Linked DNA regions of Arabidopsis thaliana. The protein of the gene in region 2 interacts with the protein of the main gene of each other region in a pairwise test. Each region holds a gene or a part of one and is shown on either strand. Other genes may lie near its edges. The genes, in order: AT4G00232, MYB65, U2AF35B and GRF4.

Region 1 (6,624 bases), on a different chromosome or scaffold from region 2:
TTCAACTATAGTAGATGTGATGGGCTACTCTCTGGTGATAATAAGGGATGCTTGTGCTGGAGGACGTCTTGAAGAACTCAAGGAGGACAACAAGGATTCAGGTGATACTGTTGAATTGCTCTTGTCCTCTGGACTAATAGAACTTCTCCTTGATCTGCTTAGTAAACTTGATCCTCCAACAACAATAAAGAAGGCTTTAAACCAGAGTCCTAGTTCTTCTTCTTCTTCATTAAAGCCGTGTCCTTACAGAGGATTCAGGAGAGATATTGTGTCGGTGATTGGGAACTGCGCGTACAGAAGAAAAGAGGTACAAGATGAGATCAGGGAGAGAGATGGGCTCTTTTTAATGCTGCAGCAGTGTGTGACCGATGATGAGAACCCGTTCTTGAGAGAATGGGGCTTGTGGTGTATAAGAAATTTACTGGAAGGGAACCCTGAAAACCAGGAAGTAGTGGCTGAGTTGGAGATTAAAGGCTCTGTGGATGTGCCTCAACTCCGTGAAATTGGTCTCAGGGTTGAAATTGATCCTAAAACAGCCAGGCCAAAGCTTGTCAATGACACCTGAAGCTTCATTTGTCTCAGGGAAAAGAGGAGCTATACAATACACAACAAGAGGTCCTTCTTGAGGCGGTGAAGATCATAAAGAAGCACGGTGTGTCGCTAGGTACCACCTGGGACAATTCTACATTGTGAGTGATCATTTTGTAGAGACAAGGAATACTGATCCGGAAGCTATCTAGCTAGATGGATCCAAAACTCTGTGTTTTTGGGAAATTACAGAAAATCGTGATGACTTCTTAGGTTTCAAGAGAAAAATGTTTCATATTGGCCTTGCTTTTATTTGTTTCCTTCTTGGTATTTATAGGGTTCTAACAATTCCTATATACATGAAATGATCAATTCAATATGTTAAGCAGAAAATGGCTCTCGTTTGATGTGGTTTGCAGTGCATGATCAATTAGTTCAGCTCAACTTTTGTGAAGCCTTTCATGTCTGTTGGTTTGTATTTAAGTTCCTTGTTGTAAACCTTCTAAGCAGTTGTTGTGTTTCACTTTCTCTATAATAGAAAGGCAAGTTCTTCTCTATATTGTTCTGTTGACGATCAAACCAATTGTGATACAAAGTCTGATTCTCTTTCTCTGGTGTTCTGTTTCTAGAAGGAGATTCAGTTTCTAACAAGGTTCACTGCAGTCACAATTTACCGATATGCAGTCTTTTCTCTGTTTTTAGATTGTTATGTTTGTTTGAGCAGAATCATGTTGAAGGTTTTCTCGAGATGTCAGCAAAAACTTACTTTACCACGGCTTGCAGACTTGTACATGAAAGTTGATGATCAAACCAGGACTGATTGATTGATTGATTATACAAATGAAACCAAAAGTTCCGGAAAATACTCTGTGATAAGAATCTTATTGCTCCCTGTTAACATATGGTTCAATATAACTCCAGAAAAAACCAGAGTCGTTGGCATTGAGCATTGTTGTGTGTATTCAGGAATTGTTTGATAGTCTGATTTGCGTAATTTTTCAGTCAACATTGAGAGATCTAACTAGTTTGTTTGATGTTGCAGTACCAAACATGTCTGATTCAGAATGGCAAACACATGTTCTGGAATAGAAACAGATTCCATTTAATAAAAGATAAAACCATTATCTTAACATAGAGGTATCATAAGATAAACCAGAAACATAGATAGAACAAAAGATAACCAAAGTTGCAAGAACAAACTGAAATGAGACGTTAATTTAGCATCTAACTGGATGATGATGCTTCAAAGCTTTATAATCCGCTTACTCTTCCTTGGTTTCTCAAGGGCAGATTCCACATCATAACCCCAAATCATTTTCAACCACTCGGAACTTTTCTGGTATAGAGGTTCCGAAGAAGACGGATCTTTATCGTAAATCCTCTGTTTTTTCTTTAATTTCTTCTTCAAACTCTTCATCTTCTCTATGAAGTCTTCGTCAATAACAGTGCTTATGTATTCATGGACGACGAATTCGTATGCTCCGTTTATATCATCAACAGGATTCTTACCTGTTACAGATTTGAAATCCAACATACCTTGTAGCACAAGGACCTCATCTTTCGAACTCCACTTTAACATTTGAGAATTCTCCTTTTTTGCATCTTTCTTTGATTGTTTGGCACTCACGTTCTTCCGCTTCTTCCCAGTTAGCTTAGCTTCACCGGAACCACCACAAACCTTGGACCGGTTGGTATTGGCTTTGTCCATTATCAGACGGTTCTCTGAGAGAAAAAGAGTTCGTTTTTAGGGAGAAAAAGAGTTCGTTTTTAGGTTTCGGCTGTTTTTAGGGTTCGGCTATAGTTACTATATATCATTAGTACGTTTAACCTAACGTTTTAGTAAACTCTCATGCCAGGGCCTTTACTTGCGGAAACCTTCTTGATGGACCAAAAGCTTCTCCTTCGATGATCTCCTTTTCATCGAATATACGCCTGCATAGTGATGCTAAGCCTTTCAATTACTTAAGCCATTCGTCGTACGCACGAGCTTTCAGCTCCAAATCTGATGATTTCGGAAGTATTGTAGCATCTGGTGTTACTGGGTCTGGTGATGGGAATGGGAATGATTGGGTTGAGAAAGCTAAAGATGTGGTGCAGACTAGTGTCAATGCTGTTGCTGAGACTGCAAAGAAGACTAAAGATGTCTCTGATGAGATGATTCCTCATGTTCAGCAGTTCCTTGACTCTAACCCGTATCTCAAAGATGTTATAGTTCCTGTTAGTCTCACTGTGACTGGTACTTTATTTGCTTGGATAGTGATGCCTAGGATTCTTAGAAGGTTTCACACTTATGCTATGCAAAGTTCCGCTAAACTGCTTCCCGTTGGCTTCTCTAATGAAGACATTCCTTATGAGAAAAGCTTTTGGGGAGCTTTAGAGGATCCTGCTCGTTACTTGGTGACCTTCATTGCTTTTGCACAAATGTGAGTCTCTCTAGCTTTATTCCTTTGACATGTATGTTGTAGAAAATAGATAGACTTGATGAATGTGATATGCTGCAGTGCTGCAATGGTGGCGCCAACAACTATAGCAGCTCAATACTTTTCCCCGACTGTGAAGGGAGCGGTTATTCTCTCAGTTGTGTGGTTCCTGTATCGGTGGAAGACCAATGTGATTACCCGAATGTTGTCGGCTAAGAGTTTTGGTGGGCTTGATAGGGACAAGGTATTGACTTTAGACAAAGTATCATCTGTTGGTCTTTTCGCTATCGGTTTGATGGCTTCTGCTGAAGCATGTGGTGTAGCTGTTCAATCTATCTTGACAGTTGGTGAGTAACCTAGAACTCAACAATGTGAGATATTAGCTTATTATGATTTGAGAGAGAATGACTACTTCTTGTTATATATAGAATTCTTTGTTTTGTGCTTCTATATCTCTCTGCTATATTTGACATTCCTCGCTACAAGTTTAATGCAAGTGTTACAGATTCTTGAGTTTTCTTGAGCAACAAGTAACCTTCAACTTCTTCTTAATGAATTACAGTATGATATAGGTAGTGAGGAAATACCACAAGAAACCTTCATTTTATCTTCTTCTTGATCAGAACCCGTTTTCATGTACGCTAACTACGGTAATTTAGCGAAAGCACTCGACTTTGATCTTTATCTTCAAAACTCCATTCCTGTCCAAGTATGGAGTGAAGAAGAGCTGGCTTGGGGACCCTTGTGCTCCAGTAAAATACCCTTGGAAGGATATTAACTGCAGCTATGTCGATAATGAGTCTCCGAGAATCATTTCTTTGTAAGATCCTCTTCAAATGCTCGTATATGTCTTTGATCTGTATGTCTTGTTCTCACAAGAGTTTGTTGATCTTCAGAAATTTATCCTCGAGTGGCTTGACTGGAGAGATTGATGCAGCGTTCTCAAACCTTACATTGTTACATATTTTGTTCGTATTTTTCGATTTCATATGGAATTCTTTTGTATACAGATTTGTGAAACTGATGCAACCAAAATTTCATTACAGGGGCTTATCAAACAACATTTCAACAGGAAATGTAGATTACATAGACACTGACTTCACTATAACTTGAGGAATTTATATTCATATCACATATATGTCTGCAGAAACTTGGAAGGAAACAAGTTATCGGGTGCTATGTCTGCGTGTCTGCTTCATGTCAAATTCCGGATGAGAAGACAAAAAAGAGTGTGTACATCATTCTATTAGCAGCATCTGTCACGGGAGTGCTTGGTCTTGTAGTAGCAATAGCTTTGTTCTTGCAGTACAAGAAGAGACATCGAAATGGTAAAAACATCAAGAAACGATCCTACATTGCTTCTTCTTTGATTTCTAAGTTTACTTGGAAGAAATATTCTTATGAGATCTTTACAGGTGGTTCTGGTGATGGCGTCAGGACTGGGCCAATGGACACAACTAAGAGATACTACAAATACTCAGAAGTTGTGAAAGTTACAAACAACTTTGAGAGAGTTCTTGGACAAGGAGGTTTTGGAAAAGTATATCATGGTGTCTTAAATGATGACCAAGTAGCTGTCAAGATTCTTTCTGAATCATCGGCTCAAGGGTACGAAGAGTTCAGAGCAGAGGTAACTCTCTTATACACTAAGAGGTTTAGTCTCTATTAAGTGAGTTCTGTAGTAATCGGGATATCCACCAACTTGTGTATGATCAGGTCGAACTTCTCCTGAGAGTTCATCACAAGAACCTAACCGCTCTTATCGGATACTGCCACGAAGGCAAGAAGATGGCGCTTATCTATGAGTTTATGGCTAATGGAACCTTAGGAGATTACTTGTCAGGTCAGTCTATTTGCTACTTTGTTTTGGTCACTGGTCTTTTGCTGCTGTAGACATTGTTTTACAAAATGAAGGTACCATTTGACCGCAAGAATTAAGCGAGAAAAGTGATGTTTAGAGCTTCGGGGTTGTTCTTTTAGAGGTTGTCACAGGCCAACCGGTGATTGCACGTTCAAGAACAACAGCAGAGAACATACACATAACTGAGTCGACTTTAATGCTGTCGACAGGAGATATCAGAGGCATTGTGGATCCAAAGCTAGGGGAGAGGTTTGATGCTGGTTCGGCATGGAAGATCACTGAAGTAGCAATGGCTTGTGCATCTTCTAGTTCTAAGAATAGACCGAGGATGAGTCATGTAGTTGCTGAGCTAAAGGAGAGTGTAAGCAGAGCAAGAGCTCAACAAGTGATATGAAATTGGGACAGTAGTTAGTAGTAACCACAACATGTAAAAATTCAATTGGTATGATAGCTAACAATCTCCCACATTCTGTTGTGTGTTTCTTTGTTTTGTAATAACTCTGGTTACGAGTAGAGAGACATTCATATAAGAAGCACATTTACAAAGTCTTAAAAGTTCATTATAACCATAGACCAAAAGGCTAGTTAGACAACTTAGCTAATTCATTACAACCATCGACCAAAAGGCTTGTTAGACAAAGCTAATTCTCACACGAGAATCCAAAGTCCTAAAAGTTCATTAGAGTAGATAGAAAGATGAAGCCTAAGATAGATAACAAAATAAGGCATTACATCTTCATTAAACCCGAGATTAAACGGATAAACATATACAATCCAATAGCTTCCTCTTCTTCTTCTTAGTTGGTTTGAGTAAGCACTGAAGTCACCTCCTTCAAAACATCCATGTTCGCCAACAACAACTCACATTTCTTAGCATCCACAAGCTTCATCTTCTCTTGAATCCTCTTCTTAGTCTCCACGGACACCTTGCTCCACTTCTTCTTCACAGAATACTCATCCAAACCGAGACTAGCGATAACCGGAACAAGAAAAGACTCCTCAAACCACTCCGAATCTTCTCCAAGAATCACGACTTGCTCATCTTCTTTAACCAAAGGTTTCACGTTCTTCTCCTTGCTATTAGCCTTAACAAGAACAGATTCATCTTTCACTTTCTTCTTCACAGGAGTTTCAAGGCTCACACCATCAGATCCCCAAAAAGAAACAGCCAAACCCAAACACTTCTTATCATGATCCGATTCAACACTTCTCACCTTCCGGTCACCAAAATACTTTCTCTTAAAGCTTCTAATCTTGTCAAAGAACTGGACTTTACTAACATCAAAGCTTATAGATTTCTTGGCGATATCAAAAAACCTATCCTTATGATCCCAAGGACTTGTACCTGTCTCAGCTTTGAAATCGATCATTGCTTGCAGGAGAGAGATCTCGTCTTCTTCACTCCATACTCTCTGAGCATGCCCCTTTTTGTTATCGCCCTCTTTCTTAATTCTTTTGACATGCATGTCCCTTGACGTGGTTCCTTCGCTAGCTCGCTTCTTCCCTGACTTCACCGCCGGTGATTCAGTAGCACCTTCGTTATTCCCTGACTTCACTGCCGGTGATTCAGCAGCACCTTCTTTCTTCCCTGACTTCACTGCCGGTGATTCAGCAGCACCTTCTTTCTTCTTCCGCCTGGTTAAGACGAATGACTGCTTCTCTGACTCTGAGTCATCAGAAACTGCCACGGCGGCGGAAGGAGAGTTTAGGGTTTTTGTTGACGGAACAGTGACGGGAGCTTCTTTGGGTTTGCTTTCTTTAGAAGAAGAGATCTCTTCAGAAGAACTCTCAAATTCGCTTGAAGAATCGATTGCT
Region 2 (8,879 bases):
TTGATTCGTGAAATATCTTAAGATTGAATAAGATCATCTTTTGTTTGTGCATAAGGGGAGGATAAGCTGATAGTAGAAAATCTAGATTAGACAATTGATGGTACTGAGTAATAACTAATAACTAACCTTAGGAGTATGATTGGTTTCTAGGGTTCTTATGAGATGTATTTTGCGATCATGTTCCTTTCTTTTTCGTCATTTTTATGGAGTTTCATACTCGGAGTTGTATTAGTAGCTTTGATCAGTGTCTTGCGAAAACAATGTGTTTTTAAACCAGGCCTTGTGAAACCATTAGCCTTTGTGTAACATCTGGAGTTTATTGTGCTGTTCTCTCGTTTACTTGGTTAATGCTTAATCATTGCGACAGAAATCAGGGTGGATATTCACTTGGAGTAAGGTGCAGCTCGTATAAACTGTTCATCATGCCGAGCCGGAGAAGTGAGTCTGCTATTAGGCTAATTACGTACTCTGAGGAGCTTGTGGATGGAAAACCGTTCTTTGCTTTTTCCAATTGTCTTCCTGTGAAGGCTTTAAACCGTGAACCTGCTGGTCATGCCTTCCATTCTGCTGCGCTTAAACTGCATGGTTGTGCAGAAGAACCCACAGACGATGAAGGTGGTGATAAGAAAGTGGGAGATGATAAAGAGAAGGAATATGTTCCTTCATTCAACTCGTATGCCAACAAAGGAAAGAAGAAGTCTGGTACCCAGCAACAAGACCACTATGCGTTGTTGGGTTTGAGCAATCTAAGATATCTTGCGACGGAAGATCAGATTAGGAAAAGTTATCGTGAAGCTGCATTGAAGCATCATCCTGATAAACTCGCTAGTCTCCTTCTGTTAGAGGAAACAGAAGAAGCCAAGGAGGCAAAAAAAGATGAGATTGAATCTCGCTTCAAAGCGATTCAAGAAGCATATGAGGTATTGATGGACCCAACTAGGAGAAGAATTTTTGACTCCACTGATGAGTTTGATGACGAGGTCCCATCGGATTGCTTGCCGCAAGACTTTTTCAAGGTGTTTGGTCCAGCGTTTAAGAGAAATGCTAGGTGGTCAGTGAATCAGCGTATTCCAGATTTGGGAGATGAAAACACACCACTTAAAGATGTTGATAAGTTCTACAACTTTTGGTACGCTTTCAAGAGTTGGAGGGAATTTCCTGATGAAGAGGAGCATGATCTTGAACAAGCAGATTCCCGTGAAGAACGTAGGTGGATGGAAAAGGAGAATGCAAAAAAAACTGTGAAGGCTAGAAAGGAGGAGCATGCTCGAATCAGGACTCTTGTTGACAATGCGTATAGAAAAGACCCGAGAATTGTGAAAAGAAAAGAGGAAGAAAAGGCTGAGAAGCAACAGAAAAAAGATGCAAAAATTCAGGCCAAGAAGAAGCAGGAAGAGGACGCTGCTATTGCTGCTGAAGAAGAGAAAAGGCGAAAAGAAGAAGAAGAAAAGCGAGCAGCAGAATCTGCACAACAACAAAAGAAAACTAAGGAAAGAGAGAAGAAGCTCTTACGCAAAGAACGAAATCGTCTTAGAACTCTCTCAGCTCCTCTCGTGGCTCAGCGTCTGCTTGACATCTCTGAGGAAGATATAGAGAATCTATGCATGTCACTTAACACCGAGCAGTTGCAGAATCTATGTGATAAAATGGGAAACAAAGAAGGACTAGAATTGGCAAAGGTGATCAAAGATGGATGCAACAGTAGTAGAAATGATGAAGCCGAATCTAAAGAAAAAGTAAGTAAGAAGACCAACGGTGGCACAGAGCCTACAACCCGAGTTTCACAGTTAGATAGTAGCACTCAGAAGAAACAACCATGGAGCAAGGAAGAGATTGATATGCTGAGAAAAGGAATGATAAAATATCCAAAGGGGACATCGCGGAGATGGGAAGTTATTTCAGAGTACATTGGTACAGGAAGATCTGTAGAGGAAATTCTGAAAGCAACTAAAACAGTTCTCCTGCAAAAACCAGATTCAGCTAAAGCATTCGATTCTTTCCTCGAGAAGAGGAAACCCTCTGCTTCAATCACATCCCCTCTCTCCACAAGAGAGGAGCTCGGAGAATCTCTACCCACAATGACGACCACAACAAATGCAAAGCCCTCTAAAGAGACTGTTGTGGGGAAAAGCTCGAGCAGTCAAAGCTCAGACAACAATGGTGAAGTAGGTGGAAGTTCAGACGCAGATAGTTGGTCGACTGTGCAAGAAAGAGCTTTGGTTCAAGCTTTAAAGACATTCCCGAAAGAGACAAGCCAAAGATGGGAGAGAGTAGCTGCAGCTGTCCCTGGTAAAACGATGAACCAATGCAAGAAGAAGTTTGCAGAGCTTAAGGAAATCATTAGAAACAAGAAAACCGGAGTATGAGGTAAAATCATTTCGGAGTCCCATGAGAATTTTGGGTTTTAATCCTCTTGGGGCACCGTTACTTTGCGAGAAGCAAGACCTAAAACTTTTTTATTATTTGTAATGATTCATTTCCCTTTGATGTCTCTATATATTGAGAGTGCTGGAGCCACTATTATGGAGTATGTTGTTTTTTACATAATCTTATGTAACGTTTGATTAGCGTCTAGTTTCAAGTTGTGAAATAAAGCGCATCGCTCATGCTGCTGTGTCTCCGGTCCCAATTAGAGGTTGGGCTACAATAAGCCCTAATTTTGATTTGCTTCTTTACAATCTAAACAAAACCAATCGAGCTAGTATGATGGAAGTAGCAGGAACAAGAAATGAGTATATATAAATGCCTTCCAAGTATAAGAAAAATCAGGTGAAGAAAATCCAAATTTTTACCAAGTCCACAAATCTTCTCTCAACTATAACAAACCACCAAGTCATGTAAGCCAGGTGCATGAAAATACAGAAAGATTCAAATTGTGTGATATGGTTCATTTTGTTACAGCGACCAAACAGGAGGCATATTGGTCCATCCATAAGACCCGACGCCTCGTGGTGCTTGACCTGATGATGACCCAACAGTCACGTAACTGTTCCCAATGTCGTCACCACCAAGAAGTGCAAGCGCATCACTCATGCTGCTTGTGTCACTAACAATGCCATAACAGCCTTGGTCAAGCCAGCTCGACGCAAGTAAAACATCAGGCCGTGTTATATCAACTCTCTTTGGTTCCCAAACCTGATCCAACTCTTCTGTCTTTACAACATTCCCTGCAAAAGCTTCATATACGAAAACCAACACAGCTGCATAAGAATCAATATGGAACAAGAGTAGATAAGATACCAATCAACAAGTAACTTTGATCAACTCACCTGATGAAAAACCACCTGCACTAAGTTGCGAGGGACTTGTAATCTCGGAGCGACCCAAATACTTTTGGGAATCTTCATATTCTCCTGATTTGATCAGGTTTTCGCTGCCACGTGGTACATTCTGAGTAACATTGGTCGTGCAAGTAGTTGAACTGAAACTCTTCTGGGGTGATGACATCAACAAACTGTGCTTCGCACTAGTTTTGATCTTGGCCTCATGAAGTAACATATCTAGTAGGCCGGTGTCGCATGAAGAGAAACAATCTGACTCCTCTACCTGCGATGGTGGTGGAGATTGAATATAGGCATCAACAGAGTCAAGGAGATCTGAGTGTGGAGGTGACGGAGTCGTCTTCCACTGATCAAATGCACTAGTTTCTGAATATTGGAATGAAGGGAGCTCCAGCTTCACTGCCCCAAACAAGGGCTTAGAAGTAGGATGCATGCCATACGTAACTGTATGGCTATCAGGAACCATCATCATATGAGACGAATGTTGGTTTTCATAAGGATGATGATCAACATCACAAGGCGAGATACTGCAAGATCTGGGATTCTTCTGTACAGCCGTATTCTGAAAGTGTTCCGGCGATTGGAATTCATGCTTTATGTTACTGCTGCACATGGGAAACCGAGATCCAGATTCCCAGATTTGCTTTGGGGAAGGCAATATTGGTGGCATGTAGCTCTCATACCGGGAAGAACTTGCGCCAGTTCCTAGCATGTTGCATGCAACCAAATCTGATAGGTCAGAAGCGGCAGGTAACAAGCTAGCAGCAAAATTTAGATCGTCAAATAAGACATTATCTTTAGAATTCCCCAACTGCAAGAAATCTTGATGTCTTCTTCTTCTATCTACTCTTATGATATTACTCTTTGTATACTCTTCGCTCCAATGAAGGTCATCAACATAGATTTCAGGAGGGTAAAGTGGTAAGCCTGCTCGTTGTCTCCTCTTGATACGAGTGTTCCAATAATTCTTTATCTCATTATCTGTTCGACCAGGTAACTGGTAAACAAGAAGAAAACATCATACCAGAGATTAATTAGTCTTTAGGCTCACAAAGAATATCAAAATATGAAAATGGACCATGATCAGGTAGCTTCCGCAGTTACAAAACTACTTACATGTTCAGCCATCTGTGCCCATTTATTTCCCATCTTGGCGTGCATTTCAACAATGAGCTGTTCTTCTTCTTGGCTAAATGCTCCTTTCTTCAAGTTTGGCCTCAGATGATTAGCCCATCTCAGACGACAGCTTTTACCACAACGGGCCAGGCTAGTGTGTTTCTGCACAGCATTCCAGTTACCCTCGCCGTGCTTCTTTACATAATCAATTAAAATCCCGTCTTCAGTTGAAGTCCATGGTCCTTTCTTCAGGACACTTCTTTTCCCTCTACTTCTGCAGCCATTGCTAATACTATCAGGAGCTGGTGATTCATTATGGATGCTGGAGTGCATACCATCATCACTATCAGCAGTCGCCGTCGTGTAACTCATCTCTTTCTACTTAAAGCAAGACAGACTCCAGCAGTTCAATAACAATTTAGACATCAAGCTCCAACCTGAACCAATTAAGAGGAAAAAGAGACAAATTAATATTTCAGCCAGCATTCATGTAGTTATCAACAAAATAATGACATGATAAACTTGTAAAAGGAGGCGATAATTGAAAAATATGTCTAGTAGATTCATCATATCTACCGCTGAGATATGAGTTGATACTAGGCAACAACTAAAAGTCTGTAATGAAATTTCTACAGAACACTAGTGACACCATTTTGACGAATAGATTTCGTATTTGAATGAAAATCCAGAAATGGAAACCAGAAACTAGCTAAGCACCATTTTATAGCTCTGATACTTTGAAATGACTTCTGTATCAAATTCGCAATCTCTAAATCTTAGTTCCAATTTCGAATACTAATAAATCGATTTTCAATGAACCAGAAATTACGATTGAACAATCAAAATCCATATATACAAGAATCAAAAAGCAGCAACTAAAGGTACAACAAAGACGAACCCTAGCTGAGGTAAAAGTAAGCTCTATATTGAGTATCTAGCAATCTGAATACAATCAGCAAACCATAGACAAATACGAAGTCGTCGAGATCTACAACATGAGACGAAATCGGAGCTCGAGTTTGAGCTGAAGATATCCGATTTGGTTATCGGAAAACACACAAATCGTAAATTTGAATCGGAAAAACGTTAGCTAAAAATATCAAGCTCAACAACTGATTAGAGAGAATGAAAACAGAGATTGAAGATCAGAGATCCGTGGAAATGGATTCAAGAGCTAGTAACGGAAGAACAATCTAGAAGAAGAAGAAGAAGAAAATATTACCAGGAGTGGGAGAGAGATAACGCGGGAAAAAGCTCGAGAGAAGATATCTCAGAGAATCGACAGAGACAAGGATGGAGAAAGAGATCAAAGTAACAGAGGAAGAAGATTCATCAGAGCTGAACAGAAGTGGAAAAAAGAGATGAATTTAGAAATAAACATCAAAATATTAAAACTCTCCTCACTTAATTAATTATTTTGCTTTTTATTTCCGCGTTATAAATAAATTATAGAATAAAAAAAACACTAAGAATCCAATATCTTTATTAGAAAATCAATTAACTCAAAAAAAATCCCGTATCTTTTTTATCAATTTTAAAATTTTATAAAATTCAAAGATTTTAGGTTTAAAAATAATAATCGTAATATTAATATTTACGAAATGTATCATTTAAAAATAATTATGGATAAAGGTTTGGTATAATCGTATACGTCTTGATAAAAAGGAACCCACCAAACATAAATTGGAATGTTGTACTTTAATTTAATGATGTATAAATGAGCTTATTGACGTAGATACGTTGAGATTACGAGAATCCGCACTCATATTAACTACTGTACTAGTGTCATTCATTCTTTGTCAACTAATAGATTATGACAGTGATTCTCTAGCTAATCAGACGATTGGCTTGAATCTGTTTCATGTCACAGCTTCTTCACTATATAATATACATAGTAAATATTTGTTGTCAGAAGTATATAATGATGAATAATTTGGTTCTTATTAAATTATAAAAAATAAAAATTGGTTCTTTTTTTTTTTTTTTTCCTTGGGCTAAAAGCCTAAAACCCAAAGATTTTTAACTCAAATTGAGGAACTGCTATAGTAGGATCCACATGTGCCCATATTGATTTCGGCATCGAAGAAAAACAAAAAATTGGGCTTTAAAAGTGGATCTTCATCATCCATGAAGGTGGTATATCAATTCATCTACCGACATTTGTATTACAAAATATTATTGAGATAGTAGTAACCAATATGTTAAAATTCAACCATAGCACTGTTTTCCATCTAGTTAACAATTAGCTAAAGCCTTTGAGGAAAGAGGAAGGTGAGCGAGCGCGTGGACCTCGTGATCCTGAATAGCTCACGTATTGTTTGTGGCCTGAATTCTGGTTATGTACATAAATAATGTTGTATGAAGATAAGTACAGGCCTGACGCAAGCCCGACAATACAAGAAAAATGATAAAAGAGAAAGATGATAAAAATGCTAATGTACCATATATATGATCCATTGCACCAAACCCACAAAGATAAAAAGGTGCTTTCGGCTTTTTGGCTTATGTTTTGAGACTCTAGAAATAAATATATTCTACTAATAAGTGTGGTAATGTATTGTTCAACATATATCTTTCAACGCTGCCGAATTTGAATTCGAATTATGTTTATTTATAGTCTTATAGAAACTATTTGATTCAATCAATTAGAATACAAATAATTGGTTTTTAAAAAGAAGTTACATAAAGTATGTGAAGAAAGGGATGGAGGGAATAATAATATAGAAATATGGAAAGCAGTGTAACTTGGTAAACGTACGAGGAACGTAAAGAGATCAGTTCCACTTCTCCGTGTCTCACGCTTGTCTCTTCCCTCTCTACCTTTTCTCTATTTCGTTTCACACCTTTTATTTCATCTTAAAACTTGCTCACTAGTAAAAGAAATTCTGACGATTTTCAGCAAACCATTACTGATGATTAGTGTTTGATCTTTAAATTCGCTGACTAAATAGTTGGAAATTTATTTGACGGTATAACTAAAAATTATCTAACCAAATCAAATATTTAAAATCCACCATATAGAGTAACGAACTTCGACAAACTTAATACATTTCGATGGATTCTTTAGCATGAGTGATCTGGTAATTTGATATCATAGTTGATGGCTTGAACACAAGATAAAACGATTTATACAGTCTTTTGTAGACTAACAAATATCTATATATGGGTACGGTTATGGCAAATGATATGGTTTGAATTGAATATGGATGACAAAATTGGCCTCTATTAGACGTTTGTACTTTGTACTAATGACCTGAGTATCTGAGATCTCAGTTAACGTATTTTTAATTTGTTAATTATATATATTTTATGCACATCATTGGAGAAAACACCAAATAGGCTCTTCTTTATCGCTTCATATATATAAAAGTCTACATCTATCTCTTTCTAGGTCACTAGCTAGACTCTAGATTAAGGATTGAAATTAGGGTTTCATGTTTCCAGCAAAATGGTGCCGTCTTGAGTCTTGAAAAGATCCAAGACAAAACCAAATCACTACATACATCCCTATCATCAACCAGCTACTGTTCGCTGTTGGAGCATCATCAAGATTCACAAATCATCAAGTATTCGTGTAAATAAACCCATTTATGATTAGATTTTTGATGTATGTATGAGAATCTTGATGATGCTGCAGCTGCAATCAGTGGCTTACACATAGAAACAGGTTTGTGTTGATTGGAAATTTCATAGTCCAATCTTTTTGTAGGAATTCACAGATCGGAGGTATTTCTTGGATATAGCTCGAGAACTTTTTGGTATGTTCATTTTCTCTCTATCTTGAATTCTTGTAGATGTTTTGAACCTCTCAAATGATCTTAGCTTTCCGAAAAAAGAATCCAAATTATTTCATATGATCCTAATTTTTTTCTGGTTCATATATAAGTAAGTATCTCTAGATCATACTGATCCATTATTTTAGGATTTTTACTTCTCTCAGCTTTCATCATAATTTTTGTTTTCTGATGACTTCAGTATATATGTTTGAGTAGATTTAACGACTATATGTTATAGTGATGCATTCTTGCTGTGTATTTTGATTCAGATCTACCAACAGATTTTTCACATTGAATTTTATTGTTTATAATTCCATCTTCCCAAAATGCCAATCTCTGACTAGGCTCCAAATGGTAAAATTAGTGGGTATTGCAAGAACTTAATTTTACAGATAATCGTTTGACAATCTGATATATTAAACTTTAACAGAACTATGATTTTGTTTAATTTGGAAGAACATTTGTGTGCCTGTTACTGAAAATGCATACGAGTAAGGTATGTCGATAATGGTTGTGGCCGTTCTTTATATCACACGGATCTCACATTTCTTTCTTTGCAACATCTTGTACACTAAAACCTGCAAAATGAGCTATAACTATAAGGTTCAGTTTACCGCATGTGAAACAGATGGAGCTAATGTATTCGAAGCTATTTTTACCACTTATTTCCATTTAGTGCTTCTGTATTCTGTAACTTAATATATTT
Region 3 (8,778 bases), on a different chromosome or scaffold from region 2:
AAAGTAAGAAATAACACGTGGTGGTTACCTCGTCCACGTGGATTCTAAAACACAGAATCAATATAACTCTTGTATTTTCAATTTGTTGTATCGTAAGACGTCAGAGAAGAGGTCAGCTTAATTTTGACTCTCCTCCAAACAGAGAGACAAAGTAAGCCAAGCGTCTTTGGTGTAGTCCACCACCACGTTTGAGCTCGACGCAGAGAGAGAAGAATACTTCAAAGCTCTCCTTCTTCTTCTTCAACCACTAGAAATCTTCGTTCTCTATTCAATTGCATTGCGTTAGCAAAATTCTGGTGAATTGATTTGATCAGATCTTCGCTTGATTTCGATTTTAAAAATCGAAGAATTTTGTATCGCATGGAGATGATTTTGGAGGAGAAAGATGCATCAGATTGGATTTACAGAGGCGAAGGTGGTGCCAATCTCGTTCTTGCTTACGCTGGATCTTCTCCACTTTTTGTTAGTCTCTTCTTCTTCGATCTCTCTTCCTTTTGAATCCTGTAAAAGTTAAAGCAAGTCTGATGAACTTTGAAAAAAAGTAGTTCAGATTCTCGCCGTCATTGACTTTTTAGCTTTATAAAAGTTTGGTTTAGATTCTCTAGTTAGAAACTTGGATATAGATTCTTTTTTAGTGGCTCTCTTCTTCTATGAAGAATCAGAATCAGAATCAGTGTTGGTATAATTCTTATCTTCTCAGATTGATTAGTGTCTAAAGAGTTAACACAATGTTCAACAGTAAAATGTTTTGTACAGAATTGGATTTGGTTTGTTTAAGTTTGACCAATCTTTTACATTATCTCTGAACTTTGATTAGGTTGGGAAAGTGATTCGTATACAGAAGGCTCGGAGGAATGATAAAGCAATCAAGAATGCGAATGGTGTTGTTTCGGTTTTAACAAGCGATGAGCAACATCTATGGAGAGAAAACAATGAGCTGATTTCATCACCAAACAAGGAAGTTCTTGAACAAAGATATGTTAAGAATGTGATCATCCCACTCTTGGGTCCTAAACATGTTGATGCTGGAGTAAGTAATATTATCAAATGGTCTTTGTTGGTTTTATTTAGATACTTATGGCTTCTTGGTAAGCTGATGATTAGAGTATTGTAGGTACGTGTTTCTGTGTCCAAGGAGTTTCTTGAGTGTGTTGATAAGAAAGTAACTAAGCAGCGTCCGCTATGGCGTGTTAATGCAGCAAATGTTGATACGAGTCATGATTCTGCCCTTATATTGAATGATCATTCACTTTTTTCTCAAGGTAACCTATTATTATAAGAAATCGGACTTTTTTCATGATCATAAAAATTAGTCGTAACTATATGGTGTTATCTGTGTCAGGTATTTCTAGCGGTGGTGATTGCATTAGTGTTGAAATAAAGGTTTGATAAATCCTCTGGGTTGTTTTAGTTTTCTCTTTATCATGCTTGACCTAAACTCACTGTCCTTAATTCCATGAAGTAGCCCAAATGCGGATTTCTTCCAACCTCAAGGTTCATAGGTAAAGAAAACATGCTCAAAACAAGCGTAAGCCGTTTCAAAATGCATCAACTCTTAAAGTTGGAATATAACGAGGTAAAAGCAAGTCATTGTTAGTATAAAATCTTAATGGTCTATAGATTGTGATTTGCTGAAATGTCTAATAAGTATGTCACCATTCTACAGATATCTGAAGAAAGCGAGTACGATCCTCTTGATCTCTTCTCTGGATCAAAAGAGAGTGTTTTGGAAGCTATAAAAGCTTTATATTCCACTCCTCAAAACAATTTCCGCGTATTCTTGAATGGTTCTCTCATATTAGGGGGTTCAGGTGAAAGCACCGGGAGAACCAGCCCCGAAATCGGGTATGCCTTTGAGGATGCTCTCAAAGGCTTCATTCAATCAGAAGACGGTCATAGGACAGAGTGCTTTCTACAACTAGTATCTGACGCTGTCTATGGCTCAGGAGTTCTTGATAGACTTCTTGAAATTCAGAAGCTAGACAAATTAGACATTGAAGGAGCGATTCATTCGTATTACGATTTAATCAACCAGCCTTGTCCTATATGTAAAGAAGGTAAGCCACTGGAGGCGGAATTGTCTCTACATGCTTTACCTTTAGATGAAAGCTTGAAGATTGTGAAGGAGTATTTGATAGCTGCAACTGCCAAAGACTGTAGTATTATGATCAGTTTTCAATCAAGGAATGCTTGGGATTCAGAACCCTCGGGTGATTACGTCTCTCTAAAACCGACCAATCAAACGTTTGATTACAAGGTATGATCCATTTTAACACATTCTTGTCTTATATGGTGAAAGAACTATTAATAATATTTGCTGAGATCATTGGTACAATTCTCTAAAAATAAAATGTGGGATCCGCGAATCATTATAAGAACAGAAATTTCCTTAGAAAACGTTGAGTTCTCAGGAACCATATAATCGGTTTCTTCATTTTGTTATATTTGTTTGATATTTGATTTATGTAACTGTAGGTACATTTCATTGATCTAAGCCTGAAACCACTTAAGAGAATGGAGTCATACTACAAATTGGATAAGAAGATAATTAGCTTTTACAATCGGAAGCAGAAAGCCGAAAACACGGCAGAACAAATCGGCAACTCAAAACCTTCCCACAGCTAAGTCATGTATCGTCTCAATACCACTAGCTCTCTTTTTTTTGGTTACTGTTGTTGTAGAACATAATAAAGAAAGCCCTAAAAGATGAATGTTCATTTCTTAAACTTAAAATTTGTTGGAACTATATCTCCTTCACTCTATATCTCTTTCTCTCCCTGGTCTTCTCTCGGCATGGAGCCGTTGCCTGGAGATATTTTACTGTTCCAGAATGCTCTCTGTCAAGTTTTGCCAGAATTGCTTGTACATACAAAGATGGTGGAGCTTAGCCACTGTTGTTGCTCCTTCTATGGAAAATTTTGTCAGCGGTTTTCCGATATACTGTCTCCCCACTCTCTCACAAAAGATAGTATCTTTGGGGTGGCAGACCCATGGACCGTCCCTCCTCTCCCACTGAATCACAACCATGAGATCTCTTTGGCGGCATACTACAACACAACAAAAAGGATAAGTCATATAATCCCATCTACTTAAGTTTTAGCAAGTGATTGAACCAATTCCTAACATCTTTTGCGACACATTTACTTAATAAAACATTGAAAATGGTTTCCCGTAGCATCATGAACCATGCTCTGATACCACACTTGTAAATAATAACTTTTTGAGTTATCGAGAACAAAATCCATTAAACATGAAAAGTGGACACTAACAATAATAAAACTGACTAGGGCTTGGCATTCGAATACACGCTCCGATACGCTTCGGGTTTTTTGGGTTTAGGCTCATAGCACCCATTCGGGTATTTATAATATTTGGGTTAATATTTGGGTTGGGTTCGGTTTCTTCATTCAATCCACCCAAAAAAATCGTACAACATTTATCTCTTTCCCCGAACAATACAAAGTGTTTAAACCTTATAAGAAGACATTGCAAGGGACAATCATAAAGAACAATAACCAAGGGATCATTACCACATTAACTTAGAAAAACTGAACCCATCATTTGCCTCACGAACTAGTTTCTAAACAAAAATTCTACAAAATACAGTAAACACCTTACATCATCTAAGGAGTTCATGCCACTCATTTTTCAAGTTCAAAAAAAGAACACCAAATGAATATCCATTACAAGATTTTACCGATTTTTATGAAGTAATCAGCCCAAACGATACCCTTAAACTCCCTCATCACGTTCTCGGTTCCATTGCTCAATTCTCGCCCTCCTTTCCTCGCTTCCTTCTCTCACATTTCGTGGGCTTCTGCTCCGTTTCGGGCTTCCATGTCTCCTCCTTCCACCACCATCCCGATCATGCCTCTCTGATCTATCACTGCTCCTTTTCCCATTTCCATGCCGGTCACGGTCCCTAACGTCCCCTCTCTCTCGCTCTCGCGAATGCTCTCTCTTACGTCGAGGGCTTATACTCCTGCTTCGACTTCTGCTTCCCCGACGGTATGAACGACGATACCTCCCAAACAATTTCCTCCTAAGCTCCCTCGAAATCTGCTTCACATGCATGAAATTACAGTACCCACCACGGTTACAGCTGTTTTCTTCATACTGCCTACAAGTAGCTTCCCTAAAATCCGTCACAGGAGAGAAATCAGCAATGATAGGACGACCGGAATAAAATCTCCCCTGCAAAGCCTGCAACGCAGCAGCTGCGTGATCCTCCTCCTTAAACAGAACATACACATTCCCAATCATATGATCAGCAAGATTGTCACAAACATTGAGACTCTCCACTTCACCAAACTTGTTGAGTTCTTCGAAAATATCTTCGTAGAAATCCTCAAAGTGGTCTTGGATCTTACTCGGGTCTAACGGCTGTCCCTGAGGATCCACACCTGGAGTTATCATGTCAGGTCTCTGGTACATGTTCGAGAGGAGAAGCGTCGGCGAGATGGTGGGACGGTTATGAAGCCGTGAGCACCGGTCACCGTGACGACAAGCACCAATCTTAAAGTAAAACGGACAATTCACTCTATCCTTTTCAGTACCAAAGATTGAAGCTAAATGCTCTGCCATTCTCACCTAAACATAACAAAAATCAAATTCAACTAAACACAAATTGTTCTTCTACGCTTATATGATAAATCAAATCACTACAAGAACGATTCAGAATCAGAGACGAGAACCAAATCTAAGCTTATAAACGAGAGTTAACACAAAATCAAAGAGAATCAAATCAATGAACGAATCAGAATCATGAATCGTTGTCAAATCTAAAACAGATCGAGACGTTTCTAGTCATCGAGTGGAGATGAGAATCCGAAACGGAGAGAGAGATTGATTAGAGGAAGAAGAATACCGAAGAGGATTTTCTTTTAGTGGAAGAGAAGCTATCGCCGACGAGGAGGTGCCGTTGCCGATCACGATCTAGGGTTTAGGTTTATTTGATTAGCGACTCGTGTGAGCCGGAGAGAGAGAGAGAGTGTGGTGAAAAAAAGAGAAAGAGATATTAATATGGGTTTATTTTGCAAATAAACTATTCTACAAGGAGGAATAATAAAATAAACTATAGAAAGTTACAATATTGGTCCTCGTCAAAATCGTCATAACATAACGAGGATTTTAAGATTGATCCTTTTGTTGCTCCGGCTCAGAACCGAATAAACCAAACTAAACTGAACTGGATTGGAAGGAAACGAACAGAACTAGATAATTAATATCTGAATGATTTTTTTAAAAAAATATGGGAATAAAAAGAGCTAAAGCTTCTCTCTCTCTTCTCTCTCACAAAACCTTCAGAGAGGGAAAGCTTTTTGTCTCCACCTACAAGAATTTTCCGATGATAGCCGTTCCAAATAATTTGGGCTTTTGCCCGGTATCTTCTAGCTCTTTTAGTGGAGATGACCGGTTCCCGTACGGCAAATCCTGCTTTCATAAGAGGTTTTGGCCGCTTGTATCCTTGCTCGTAGTCAATCAGTTTTATGCTGATTGCTTTGATATTTTAGTTTTGTTTTTCAATAAATCTCAACAGATTTGAGATGGTAATTAGTTTTAGGTGCTAGTTACTTAAGATTAATTTCTGTCTTGTGTCTTTAGAAACTTCGATTTGCAGAAATCTATCAAGCGATTATGTCTTCGGGTTGAAAGATTGAAGAATATTCCGATGCTTATTATGATTCCTTTTTGCTGTGTCTTTTAAATGGAGCACCGTTCAGTTTTATTTCGGTGGTTACAAGGATTCATTGTGCGATGTTTCGGCGATGCATTCCTCACCGGATTCGGTGTTCATCGGCGGCGAAGGTTGATGTCGGTACACTTCCGATGACTCTTCATCTTGTGTTGCAGTTGTAATATCACGTGGACACGTGTATTGGATAGAGTCCAAATGTCAAAACATCTTTATGCCGTAGATGTTAATCTTATGGGCTATGTTGGGCCTAACTTTTCTTTCTGCACATATCGTTGTAAGCTTTAATGCTTTGTTTCCTCTTTTGGTGGTTAATATAATACACTTATGAGAAGAAAAAAAAAAAATATGGGAATAAAATTAAAAATAAATTAAAAATCTAGTGAATGTCAGACTTATCTGAAATACAATTATATATCTAAAATGTTATTCTTAATTATATTTCAAATAATCAAGATAGCCAAATTTATAATTTATAATTTAAAGATATTAGTTATGTTTACACTCAAAATAACCAAACTATCTGAAATAACTGAAATATCTGAATGTTTTTAGAATACTTGAAATATTTAACCAAATTATATTTGTCAAATTAAATACTTGAATACAATCTCCAAATAATTGAATACTTAAATACAATTTTCAAATGAGGTTTTTTTTTATATGAAATGTTAAATTTATTTGATCAATGGTAAAATGAGGTTATTTACAAAATGAGTAAAATAAAAAATGGAAAATCTATGAAATTCTGTTTGAACAAAATAGTTAGAGAGTCATTAATTTTAACCTCCACATGTTCAGGATGCCCTCTAACAGCAGCTTTCATTGGTAAAGAAAGTATTGCTCATTTAAGGTTCTTACGAGTATGTTGTTAAACATTTTTGTTTCGTACATATCCCTAGACTTAAATTTAGGTGATCAATCTACTTTTAACATTAAAAAACCTAGATGTAAAATCAAATAAGTATCCGTGGTTAAATATATTTACCCGATCATTCCATAAGTTTTTATCGAACCCTTAAATTCAATAATGTAACTAGTGACACATACCAAAAAACGGTCACACAAGATCTTATAAATTTAAGAGATATTATTAGAATAAGTAAAATTTATACGAAAAGTGAAAATAGATATTTAAAAATTAAATCATATGAGAACTAATACGCAATTGCACCATTAAACCATTCTTCTTAATTTTGAAAGTCATTTTCCTCGATGTATACTTAACTAAGTGTTTTATTTTCTCCCTCTTAGTATGTGTATATATATAGTACGGTGTTGTCATCTTCATCGATCAACTTCAATAATAAATTTTAGTACATCCTTAGCTAAACCAGTACTATACCAAAATTCAAGAGTCAATTTTTTTGCTTTTTTAAATAGAAGAAAATTTTATATATTTCTTTGTTTACATGAATAATTTCTAACAATCCCATTAACTTTGACTAGTAAGAATTAATTTGAATAATAATAGTATATATACATATATATATAAATATATATTTGTTTGTTTACGTGAATAATTTCTAACAATCCCATTAACTTTGACTAGTAAGAATTAATTTGAAAAACAATAATATATATATATTAAAAGTTATACTAAAACTTTTAATATTTGTAGGAATGCCCTACAGATATAAAACATTTATGCCCTTTATTTGTTTTTTGCATAATCAAAAAATTAATAGTATATAAAAGTTATACTAAAACTTTATAGATTTTTTTTTTTGAACTTTATAAGCATTTTGTAAGCAAAAAAATAGGAAAAAAAAACAAAATTATATTTTTTAAATATACCTCTATTTAGATTTTTACCTCCAAAACCATTCATCAAATTCACGTAATCGAGTTTTTCAAACATAATTGTCTTAATGGATAGCAAAGCCAACTCATTTATTTGATTAATAAAAACAAAGTTTTTATTTTGTAATCAAAGTTCAAGCACCTTACATTAGAAAGTCTTTGACTTTTTTTTTGTAATCAAAATTTTAGAGTTTAAGGTTTTATTTTTCTTAAATCTAAAATTTTACTAAACTAAATTCATTAATAAGACATTTTATTAATTTAAAAAGATGAAAAAAAGATAGTAAATGAAAAGTTTAACAAATATAAATATATAGAAAAATGCTTATAATTGATTTTTTTTATAACATAAAAGTCTTAAAACTTTTTTATAAAAATATGCTCCTCTACTATAATGTCCTAAGCCGTGGCTTCACTTGATTGTGTAGAATGTCGAACCTGGCTACGAAGCACCTAATAATGTTAGACATTTTGACGTGGTAGGAGTTGTGAAACGTCTGACTTTTTCTTCAGGCATTGGTATTCCTAAAAATTATACATGTGGCCGCAAAACTGCACTTGTTCCGCCCAGAGTATACAACACTTGCTAAAGATGTAAGTGAGTTTAGTTTAAATTAATTTTATATCGTGTGAACTAAGATATCTTAAAAATAATTATTTCAGTGAATTCCATCCTTTTTTTTAAGAAATTTATCGTGGGTCAAAATATATGAGCTCTTTTTACAAGGGAGTAATAGATGTGATGGTTTGTAAGACTAGAATAGCGAAAGGGGAGTTTGTTGCGTTCGTGAAGTTGCCTTGCTCAAAAGTGGAATCTCTATATGTCTCATTAGACATTTTGCTAATCCAAGCGAAACGAAAGGTGCGTGGTGGTCGTCGTCTTACTGATCCCGACACAAAGTTAGCTACGCATACGCGTTTGTTAATAGATTTTGTAGCTTTTGCTCCTCCTAAATAGTCTTTTGCTCAAATGTTACCCACGTTGAGGAAAATTGTAGGGTTTAACAGAAAATTCTAACGGAACGTTAACTCTGTTTACGAAAATTTCACGGCATGTCCGAATTGGCCCAGTCAATAAAACTTGACCATTTTATCAAAGAATAAAAAAAATATGATTTAAATAACATTTCGAAAGTTCATGTTTTTTTCGTCCCAAATTTAAAAATTAGCGATTTTTTCAATATTTTTCCCGTAAATCAAATTATCCGAAAAGTTTTGATTTTGACTTTGCTAAAAGAGAAAATCTATTTTATTTTACAAATTGATCGTGTAGGAAACTA
Region 4 (8,668 bases), about 16 Mb from region 2:
CGATGTAACAGGATGTACGATAAATGAATGGTGCTAAGGTTTAAAGATATGAATGCAGCGAAAAACGAATTTCTTAAAAGATGCAAGATGTCTTTGTACACATAGATAATGTCAAAACAAATCAAGCATCATTATATTCATATATCCGAAACTAGCGGCTTCCCTATTTTGTCATTACCCGTTTCCTTTTACTCTGCTGGCTCAGTGTTTACATACCTGTTCGCGTAATCTAAATACTCCTGCAAGTAACAAACAATCAAACATAAAAATTATCAAGAAGGAAATACAAGAACAGATTCCATTGGTCTTTAAATGAATATTAGTAACCTTACCTGAAGTATAACTACTGCGGCTAACTTGTCCAACATTGTCTTCTCTTGAACAGGATGCAAATTCAAGGGCTTCAACATCAGTTCAACGGTCTGTTGACAGTATTACATGAGATTCAAGGGATATTAAACTTAACACCTATCTTTACTGTGACTTACAAGATCTTTAAATCTGAAAAATATATACCTTTGATGATAATCGCTCGTCCCAATATGTGTATTTCACATCCTTGAGTTTTTCGGTCTTACGAAGTTCCTCAATGAAAAGATTCACAGTGACAACCTGTTCCAAGTTTAAAAATCCTTTTCGGTTATATGAGCTAATGTAGAGGAAAAGTACTTCACAATTCAGTCGAAACAAAAAAAAAAACTTACATCCTCTACATTGTTCAGTTTGCCAAATGGATAACCAACGACTAATCCCGACACAGAAAATGCTTTGACCTGCATAAGACAACAAAAGGCAAATGATTGATGTAATCAAACAGAGTTCATAAGTCTACTTGTTGATAGATCTCTACTACGTCAAGGACTTAACAGTAAACACTAACTGAATAAACCTTGATCCTTTAATCACCAGTAAGGCAGTAATCACAAAAAGCCGAGGGTGAAAGTAGACACTAATCTACTACACTAACAAACTTTCTTCTTCATTACCAAAACAAACGATAGTTTCTTCATTCCTTATCTTAGTAAACACTAATCTACACTAGCAACCTTTTTTCTTTGTTTTAAAAAACACTAAGAAATGATAGTTTCTCCATTTCTTAACAAGAACTAAAATCTGTGTATTTGTTTAAGGTCTCCTTTAAATCTAGAGCTAAAAAGTAAAGGAACGATCAAACTTATAGCACCTACCAGGTTCTGGAAATCTGTAGCCATCAGGTCAATGTTTGATTTCTTTCTGAGCAAAACACTGCAAGAGAAGTAACAGGTTTTCAATAGCGATGATGGTGACAAAATTGATCAGAGAGGATTTGCATTTTTGAAAATTACTGTTAAACAAATGTTGTAGCATGTAGACACTGAATCAAAGGTACCTCAATGGAGAAGCAACCATATTTGAAGGATCTGAGATAGCTAATCCAACATACTTATCACCAACATCTAAACCCAGAAACCGACCAGGGACTGACACTTTGGTCTTCAGCGCATTACCCAATAAGCTCAATGGCTTCACATACTTCATTTCCTGATCAAAAGTAAGTGAATCAAACTTCCAAAACACTTGTTCAAATCAAGACTAAAAATTCACATATCAATTGCATAAATTTGAGAATTATTGTACAAAAAAAACTTTAATCAGACCATCAAACAAACATTTCGAAAAAGGGTTTTAGAAATTAATCAGAAAGTTTAAATCTTGACGTACTTTAAAGGCGGAAACTTTCTGGCTCCGGAGCACGGAATCTGGCGAGAGGAAACGACAAATGGTTCTGCTAAATGTCTTCGCGATTGAAGCAAGCAAGCACAAACCCCAAGATTGTGAATTAGAGATGGACCGGAAAAGGTTTATTCCGGTTAAGTTCGAGACTTCACCGTCTAATCAATCTATACGATGCCGGTGATTATCAGGGTTTTGGTTTTACATTATACCGGGAACCGGTTAATTCGAGGTGGTTTAACTGGTTTCCCAAAATTGATTCGGTTTAGCTTAAGTGAAAAGCTCAAGTAACCACCTCTCCTGTACTTACTTGCAGGCAGAGGATCATATTAGTTTCATTGCTTATACAAAATTGTCAAGCTTTAAACATAAATATAATAGCAGAGTAAGGAACAAAACAATTCCAAAAGCAGAACTCACAATTCCAAAAGAAGACAAATTCAAAGATTATTTTCTGCAGAAAATAAAGATTCAAAGAGCACAAACCAAAAAGATTACAAACACTTTTCTTTAATGAAAAACTTGAGTAGAGATTCCCATCTGATGAAGAACACTTGACGTCGAAGAAGCTGACCTCAAAGCCTCAGCTAATGGTCCTCCCATATTGTTGTGGTGATTCCCTCCATTGCTCCACCAATTCATTTGCTCCCTCTCATTGTTGTTATTTCTCATGTTCTCTTCTTCTTCTTCATTGCCTGTGGAAAGTTTTAGAGAAACATCTGAGGACGTGTTGTTACCGGGCATGGAGATTGAAAGATGACAAGTGGATGAGCTCATTGGACTGGAGGTAGAGTCTGATGATCGTGGCCAATCGTCAAAGAAATGCCTCAAGATGTGACCATCGTCTGATCTTCCATTGCTGAATCCACTGTTAGCTTCATATGGCCTCTTGTTGTTGTTGCTTTCTTGTTTCATCTCTGAAGAACAACTGTGACAGAGAGGAATAAACATAAACATAAACATTGTCAACAAAAAGATCCAACATTTGAACAATAATAAGTAGACTGATCAATTCAACAAAATGGTTAGAGAAATAATTTAATCAGTCAAATGTGTGTGTTAATAAGAGGAAGTGGTTGCAGAATCTGAGAGCTTTATTTTGTTTGGCTTCTATGCAGGTTTGGTCAGCTTTCACTGAGGTCCTACCATGTCATTATTTCAAATACAACATAAGTATACATATCTCTTTAACTTTCTCTCTCTTTTCTATTTCTATGATTGAAAAGTCTCACCCAACTAGTAAATAAAATTAGATTCTATCAAATCCAACTGTTATCATTATCTCTCAACAAAAGAAAGAATAATGTTTTTATCACAAAGTATGTATGATAAGTCTCTCTTGTCACCCTATTGCCAACATTACCCCTTTCTTCACAGCATTACTTCACAGTGAAATCACTATTTCCCTAACAACAATATTTGTAATTAACCAAATCTACTAATGACTTTAATTAAACAGAGTGTTTGTGTTTTTTTATTGTACCTTTGTTGATGACTAAGGTGGAGAGGTTGAGATGAACCAGAGGAGAAGAAGTGGTTGTTGTTTGGTCCATGACCAAGCTCCTCACCTAAGACAAAAGAAGATGCGGTTGTTGTGGCTGTCGTTGTGATGGTGGTTGTGGCGGTTTCCACAGGCTTTCTTGAACGGTTTCTTCCACGGTGAATGTGGCGGTCACAATACTTGTGGCCCGCTACAACATCCCTTGAACATCTCCATTTCTTGCCGTCAGTTCTCTTACACCTCCCTGGCTCAGGATCCATTGCTCCTCTTCCCCAATACCCTGTTTTTTATTAAGTGTGTGTTGTTCATTAGTAACAACAAACATAAATCTCACTCAAGACATTGGTTACGAAATGTACTTGTCTGATTCTATCTATGTTGCTAATAGATCTTCTAGAAATAGGCTTATCATACACATAGGGTTTTAACTCCTTGCAAGGTTGCAGAGCAGCCTTATACTTATTTTAGATCTTGGAAATATAACTCCAACACCAAAACAAAGGGAATCTTTTTTACAAAGAAAGACTATTTCAAGGATAAGAGAAGCATAAACAATAGAGAGGAGAGAGAGACTGACAAGAAGGTTGGTGATGAGGAAAACTATGTTGAAGAGGATGGTGAAGGAAATGCATAGGAGATTGATGGAGGAGACTTTTCTTAATAGGTAAGAGAAGCTCTTGAGGAACAGAAGCACCAGCCAACATGTATCTATAGATCAGTGCTTGTAGCTCAAGTTCTTGCCACTGTGCCCAGCTGAAGAAGTTTCCCATCTCTACATATATATGTAACATAGAAACGTCAGATTAAATATCAGCAAAAACAACTTCAACATTAGAGTGAATAAGTCTTGTCCTTTTAAAACAACTTACTGAGGAACCTGGAAGAAGAAGAAGAATTAGAAGAGTCAGGAGAGAAGCAAGAGAAAGAAGAGGAAGAAGTGGGTTCAGGGACAAAGAGAGGAAGAGGAGCCGCAGCAGCAGAAGTAGCAGTTTGGGACTGAATCTGATCAAAGAAAAAGTTTGATATCTTAGTTGCAGCAGAGCCTTGTTCTTCTGACTCATTCTGCTGCTGACTTCTCCATTGTTTCAGTTGCAAGTCCATGGAACAAAGAGAGAGTGAGTGAGAGAGAGAGAAAGAGAGACAGACAGAGAAATGTGTTGGTTGCTTTTGGGATAGTTTTTTTACCCTCACTTCTTTTGTTTTTAGAGAGTCTGGCTTAATAAGCAAAGACAACCACAACAAAAGTCTTATTTGTTTGGCTTGTCATGTAAATACCCAAAATAAAAAACTTTTTCTTCTTCACTCTTTTGTTAGAGAGAGCTAGAGAAAAGTGTTTAGACTATGAGACAAGACAGTTGATAGGATAAACAAAATTAGTATATAATATTTGATTGATAGGTTTAATAAATTGTTACTTTATGTGATATAAAAATTATGTAAGTCAGAAAACAAAGAGAGAAAGCACTGCAAGATGCAGATGGAGAGATAGTAACCTGCAGTGTTTATGTCTCACTGCCTTGGAAATATCACTTCCTTTTTTTACCTCATTTTAATATTCCTTAAGTAGGTTAAAGAGATGCCTATTATGATATTGTTATTATGTTTTTTTATTAAGGATTCATTTAATGTGATGTAGAGTAACCTTCAATTTTTGTCTTACAGATGTCATTTGTCTCAGAGATTGTGTTACAAATGTATGAGATTCTAACTTCTAAGCATGATTAATCATTTGGGTTTTGACTAAATAGTCTCCATTTGCAGAGAGCTACAATACAATCTCAGCTCTATTTACTCTCTTTGGTTAGTAAGTTTTCCAAATACTTTACCATTTTAGTGGTTTAACCATATTTGTCTTTTAATTTGTAACCGTCATTACTTTTCTCATCTGTTACAATATTATTGTTACTCATAAAATATTATGTAACGTCTGTGTTTGTTTGATTTATTAAAAAAAAATTATAACTTCCTTATATAAATGTAGAAATGGACATTTATCTTTGTGTTATCTTAAAAAGACATGGCTAGCTAGTAGTATATGTACATATCTAAACACATCGAAAGGAGGGAATCATATTATTACCAGAAAAGGCCAAGTAAACTTGGAAACATTTGTTAAAATGAAGTTAGAAACATTTATTTGATATCTTCACTTGGCTGAATAATACAAAAGACATTTATGATTTTCAAAGTATCTTTATTTGGTGGTGCCAAAACAAAAAACGATAGCATTATTTTGTAGTTTTGAGGAAATAAAGTAATAAATATGAGAAGGACGATAACGATATTTCATGTAGGAGTGAGCCACAACCAAAGACTATGATGACTATTGAGAGAGTTTCTTGAGTTTTCTTTTCATTCATTCCCACCAGTTTCGGCGGCATTTATATTTGCACTAAGAAAAATATAAGAAAAACTCAATTCCTTAAGTACAGTTCAATGTTATGTACACTTCATTTGCTGTAAATCTTGTGAACCAAATAAAAAAGAAGAGGAATATCATAACATAACACCCAAAATAAACTTTGTTTTCAAAATATACCATAGGTTCTTTTTGACTTTGTAAAATTTTCCTTTTTGAAAAACAAAAATCTTTGTAACAAGTATAAAGCGGCAACTGAATTTAATAAACATTTTACGTTTTTTTTTTTAGAATAGAAAAAATATTTCGCAAATGGCCTAAACAAAATATTAGCCTCTAAAATAGAAATATTTTTTGTTGATACTTGATAGTATAATGGATCTTGTGCACTAATGATGGGTCTTAACTAATAAAGTAATAATGGATCCTGTGCACTAATATTTTGGGCCAGAACTTGTCATATACCAAAGATAATGATATCGAAGGAAAACAAACTGAAAGCAAAGTGTGAACGTAATGACATATTGTATGTCTTTTTTCAATCATGAACACGAACAAAGATTACATGCAGATGCAGTAATACTAATGGTAACAAAACAACCAAACAAATGTTGATTATCTAGACTAACTTTATATATATCTTGTTTAAACTTTAACCTACATGGTTATTAGGTTATACATGGTAAATGCATTAGTTTAAATTACCATACTACATACATTTTTATATGTTGCTCATGTTCCAATTGTTTCGTAAAACCAAATAAAATGACAGAAAATATATAGTATTATTCAGTGGACAAGGGTTGGGTCACGTGCTAAGATTAAGACCAGATGAGATCAGAAGAGGGCCCGGCCCAAACTCTCCACCTACTCACATAGATTTGAAAATCACGGGAGCTGATCCGAACCGAGCCGAGCTGGAGTAAAGATGGAGCCGGACAACGAAATCATAATCTGAGGAGGCTCTCTCTTTAGTTTCCGACGAGGGCACAGACTGTGGGTCTCACTATGTAATGTGAGATACCAAATATATTCTTTTCACTTTTTGACCAAAAGTTACCGTCTGTTTACGCACTATGCCATTTACGTTCACTTACGATGGGCCGTAAATAAAAAGCCTAGTCACGCTAGCACGCGAGGCCTCACGTGCCTTAATTATTTTCTTAATGGGCTTCGTATATTCCTTTAGGAATGATTCTTATGGGCTTCTTAAACTCTACGTTTAGCAGTACACCAACAAAAACCGAAATAAGCAAACCTCTTAGCAGACCTCTAATTTCTTAATGTGCTTATTATATTCAATTTGGAATGATTCTTGTGGCCTTCTTTAACTCTATGTTTAACACCAACAAAAATGTTGTAAGACTTGATGTATAATTTGACCAATATTTTAGTTTCAACATTATTTTGATTCTCCTAGTCAGTTGATATTCGATTATAAGCAGAGAAGACACATGATCTAAAGTCTAAACCAAAAAAAGTCAAGTTAATTAGAAGATGATAATAAAACCTTCATTTTGACCCACTCTTTATTGTAAACATGCTACAATATATGTTATTGAAACCATTAGTCATATCGATTGACAAAATACAACATATGCAATACTATACAAGAAATAACATAAATGTGACGGCAAACGTAGAATAAATTAATTTGAAGAACATGAGAGTCGTTACCATTCCTCGAGGATCTGCTTTTAGGCCCACTGTTGGATTGACCCTACCATGAGATATCTCGACGATTCTCAATCCAAGCCGTACATTTGTATGAGTGTTACGACGAATTTATGTTTGGTCCCCTATCGCCACCGGTTCTTCTCTGTAGCACTAACGATCAATCATCATGCCTTTTGTTTTAGGTAATCATCTATATGCTTTTATTTGGAAATCATTTTTGTTATGTTATTCTATTTTAATTCAGTACTCAATATGAAAATTTCCAATCTGTAAAGTTGTTTTTTATTGACCTCGCTCACAATATATCCATGAATACTTTGTATTGAGAATTCATTTTGTCATATGAATATGGATATACTCACTGCAACTCTATCTGTAACAATGTGAAAACAGGTGTAAATAAAGGAATTTCCATAGTTAGAATAGATTGAGATAGTATATTTTAGCGGCCTATAATGATTTCATAAGCTTTTTGTTCTCTTAAATGTCTTTTATTTTTGTTTGCATCTTTGAAGCTGTCTCGGGAGTAAGTAGAAAGATAATAAATGCTGCTCATATATATGATTGGGCAGCTATGGTTGGCATTTTGCCTTTTGAAATTCAGTAAAGTGAAAACAAACTCGTTAACCATCTCACGTATATGCTTTTCTAAATTTGTTATATATATTCGATCAGATTTTAAATTGCATGCATATGATCGCATTATTGTATTGATAGTCTATCATCATATGCTTTTTGTAATCTATATATACATTTTTGCAATTATTTTCTGAAATAAATCTTCAAGTTGGAACTTATTTACAAGGAATATCATTAACATTAATTATCATCAATTAATTAATATTTTTAATTATTAGCATTTCCTTATCTAATATATCTCCATCAATTCTAATTACTTTTAAAAAAAAAATTAGAACTTTATTAATATTATATTTTATTAAAGATAAATATTATAGTTATTTAAAGTTTAGAAAATATTTAGAATATTTTAACGAAAAAACGTTTAGAATATATATTATATATGAAATCTATAAAATTAAATAACTATTAGGGACAATGTCCCACATCGGAAGTTGAGTAGGATCTTAAGTGGTATATATAAGATATGGGCCTCTCCTCCTATTGCCAATTGGTTTTAGGTTGGAAGCCCACAGTCTAATATGGTAGCAGAGCCCGGTCCGCACATACTCAACCCGATCCACATCGGGCCGGCCCAATACTTGGCCCGCCGATCCATGCCCAAACATATCGAGATCAATGGCTAGAAGAGCCATCATCTCGAGGGGGCGTATTAGGGACAATGTCCCACATCGGAAGTTGAGTAGGATCTTAAGTGGTATATATAAGATATGGGCCTCTCCACCTATTGCCAATTGGTTTTAGGTTGGAAGCCCACAGTCTAATAATAACTATTTCAA

The links.
Region 1: the proteins of MYB65 (region 2) and AT4G00232 interact in a two-hybrid assay, tested with the Arabidopsis thaliana proteins (one large-scale study listed by BioGRID).
Region 3: the proteins of MYB65 (region 2) and U2AF35B interact in a two-hybrid assay, tested with the Arabidopsis thaliana proteins (one large-scale study listed by BioGRID).
Region 4: the proteins of MYB65 (region 2) and GRF4 interact in a two-hybrid assay, tested with the Arabidopsis thaliana proteins (one large-scale study listed by BioGRID).

Annotation. Positions count from the first base shown.
Region 1 is NC_003075.7:98,486-105,109, forward strand, and holds AT4G00232 (DNA-binding storekeeper protein-related transcriptional regulator), read right to left. Parts: upstream 2,360-6,624; 5' UTR 2,237-2,359; coding exon 1,772-2,236; downstream 1-1,771. Other genes in the region: MEE50 (ARM repeat superfamily protein), read left to right, coding at 1-565; AT4G00234 (mechanosensitive ion channel-like protein), read left to right, coding at 2,434-2,951, 3,030-3,303; AT4G00238 (DNA-binding storekeeper protein-related transcriptional regulator), read right to left, coding at 5,607-6,624.
Region 2 is NC_003074.8:3,598,946-3,607,824, reverse strand, and holds MYB65 (myb domain protein 65), read right to left. Parts: upstream 5,790-8,879; 5' UTR 5,620-5,789; intron 5,477-5,619; exon of another isoform or gene 5,296-5,476; intron 4,942-5,295; exon of another isoform or gene 4,835-4,941; 5' UTR 4,770-4,834; coding exon 4,398-4,769; intron 4,279-4,397; coding exon 3,270-4,278; coding exon of another isoform or gene 3,244-3,269; exon of another isoform or gene 3,177-3,243; coding exon 2,896-3,176; 3' UTR 2,653-2,895; downstream 1-2,652. Other genes in the region: AT3G11450 (DnaJ and Myb-like DNA-binding domain-containing protein), read left to right, coding at 423-2,366. UniProt on the Arabidopsis thaliana protein: Transcriptional activator of alpha-amylase expression that binds to 5'-CAACTGTC-3' motif in target gene promoter. In vegetative tissues, inhibits growth by reducing cell proliferation. Promotes the expression of aleurone-related genes (e.g.
Region 3 is NC_003076.8:17,166,713-17,175,490, forward strand, and holds U2AF35B (Zinc finger C-x8-C-x5-C-x3-H type family protein), read right to left. Parts: upstream 6,076-8,778; 5' UTR 5,546-6,075; coding exon of another isoform or gene 5,252-5,545; 5' UTR 4,868-5,251; intron 4,591-4,867; 5' UTR 4,585-4,590; coding exon 3,733-4,584; 3' UTR 3,379-3,732; downstream 1-3,378. Other genes in the region: IPK1 (inositol-pentakisphosphate 2-kinase 1), read left to right, coding at 361-462, 818-1,030, 1,115-1,262, 1,343-1,383, 1,466-1,576, 1,667-2,257, 2,476-2,625; AT5G42825 (uncharacterized protein), read left to right, coding at 5,252-5,545. UniProt on the Arabidopsis thaliana protein: Necessary for the splicing of pre-mRNA. Probably active at the 3' splice sites.
Region 4 is NC_003074.8:19,613,954-19,622,621, forward strand, and holds GRF4 (growth-regulating factor 4), read right to left. Parts: upstream 4,555-8,668; 5' UTR 4,316-4,554; coding exon 4,084-4,315; intron 3,987-4,083; coding exon 3,792-3,986; intron 3,495-3,791; coding exon 3,197-3,494; intron 2,642-3,196; coding exon 2,224-2,641; 3' UTR 2,024-2,223; downstream 1-2,023. Other genes in the region: AT3G52905 (Polynucleotidyl transferase, ribonuclease H-like superfamily protein), read right to left, coding at 189-239, 333-422, 517-612, 705-773, 1,188-1,245, 1,370-1,518. UniProt on the Arabidopsis thaliana protein: Transcription activator that plays a role in the regulation of cell expansion in leaf and cotyledons tissues.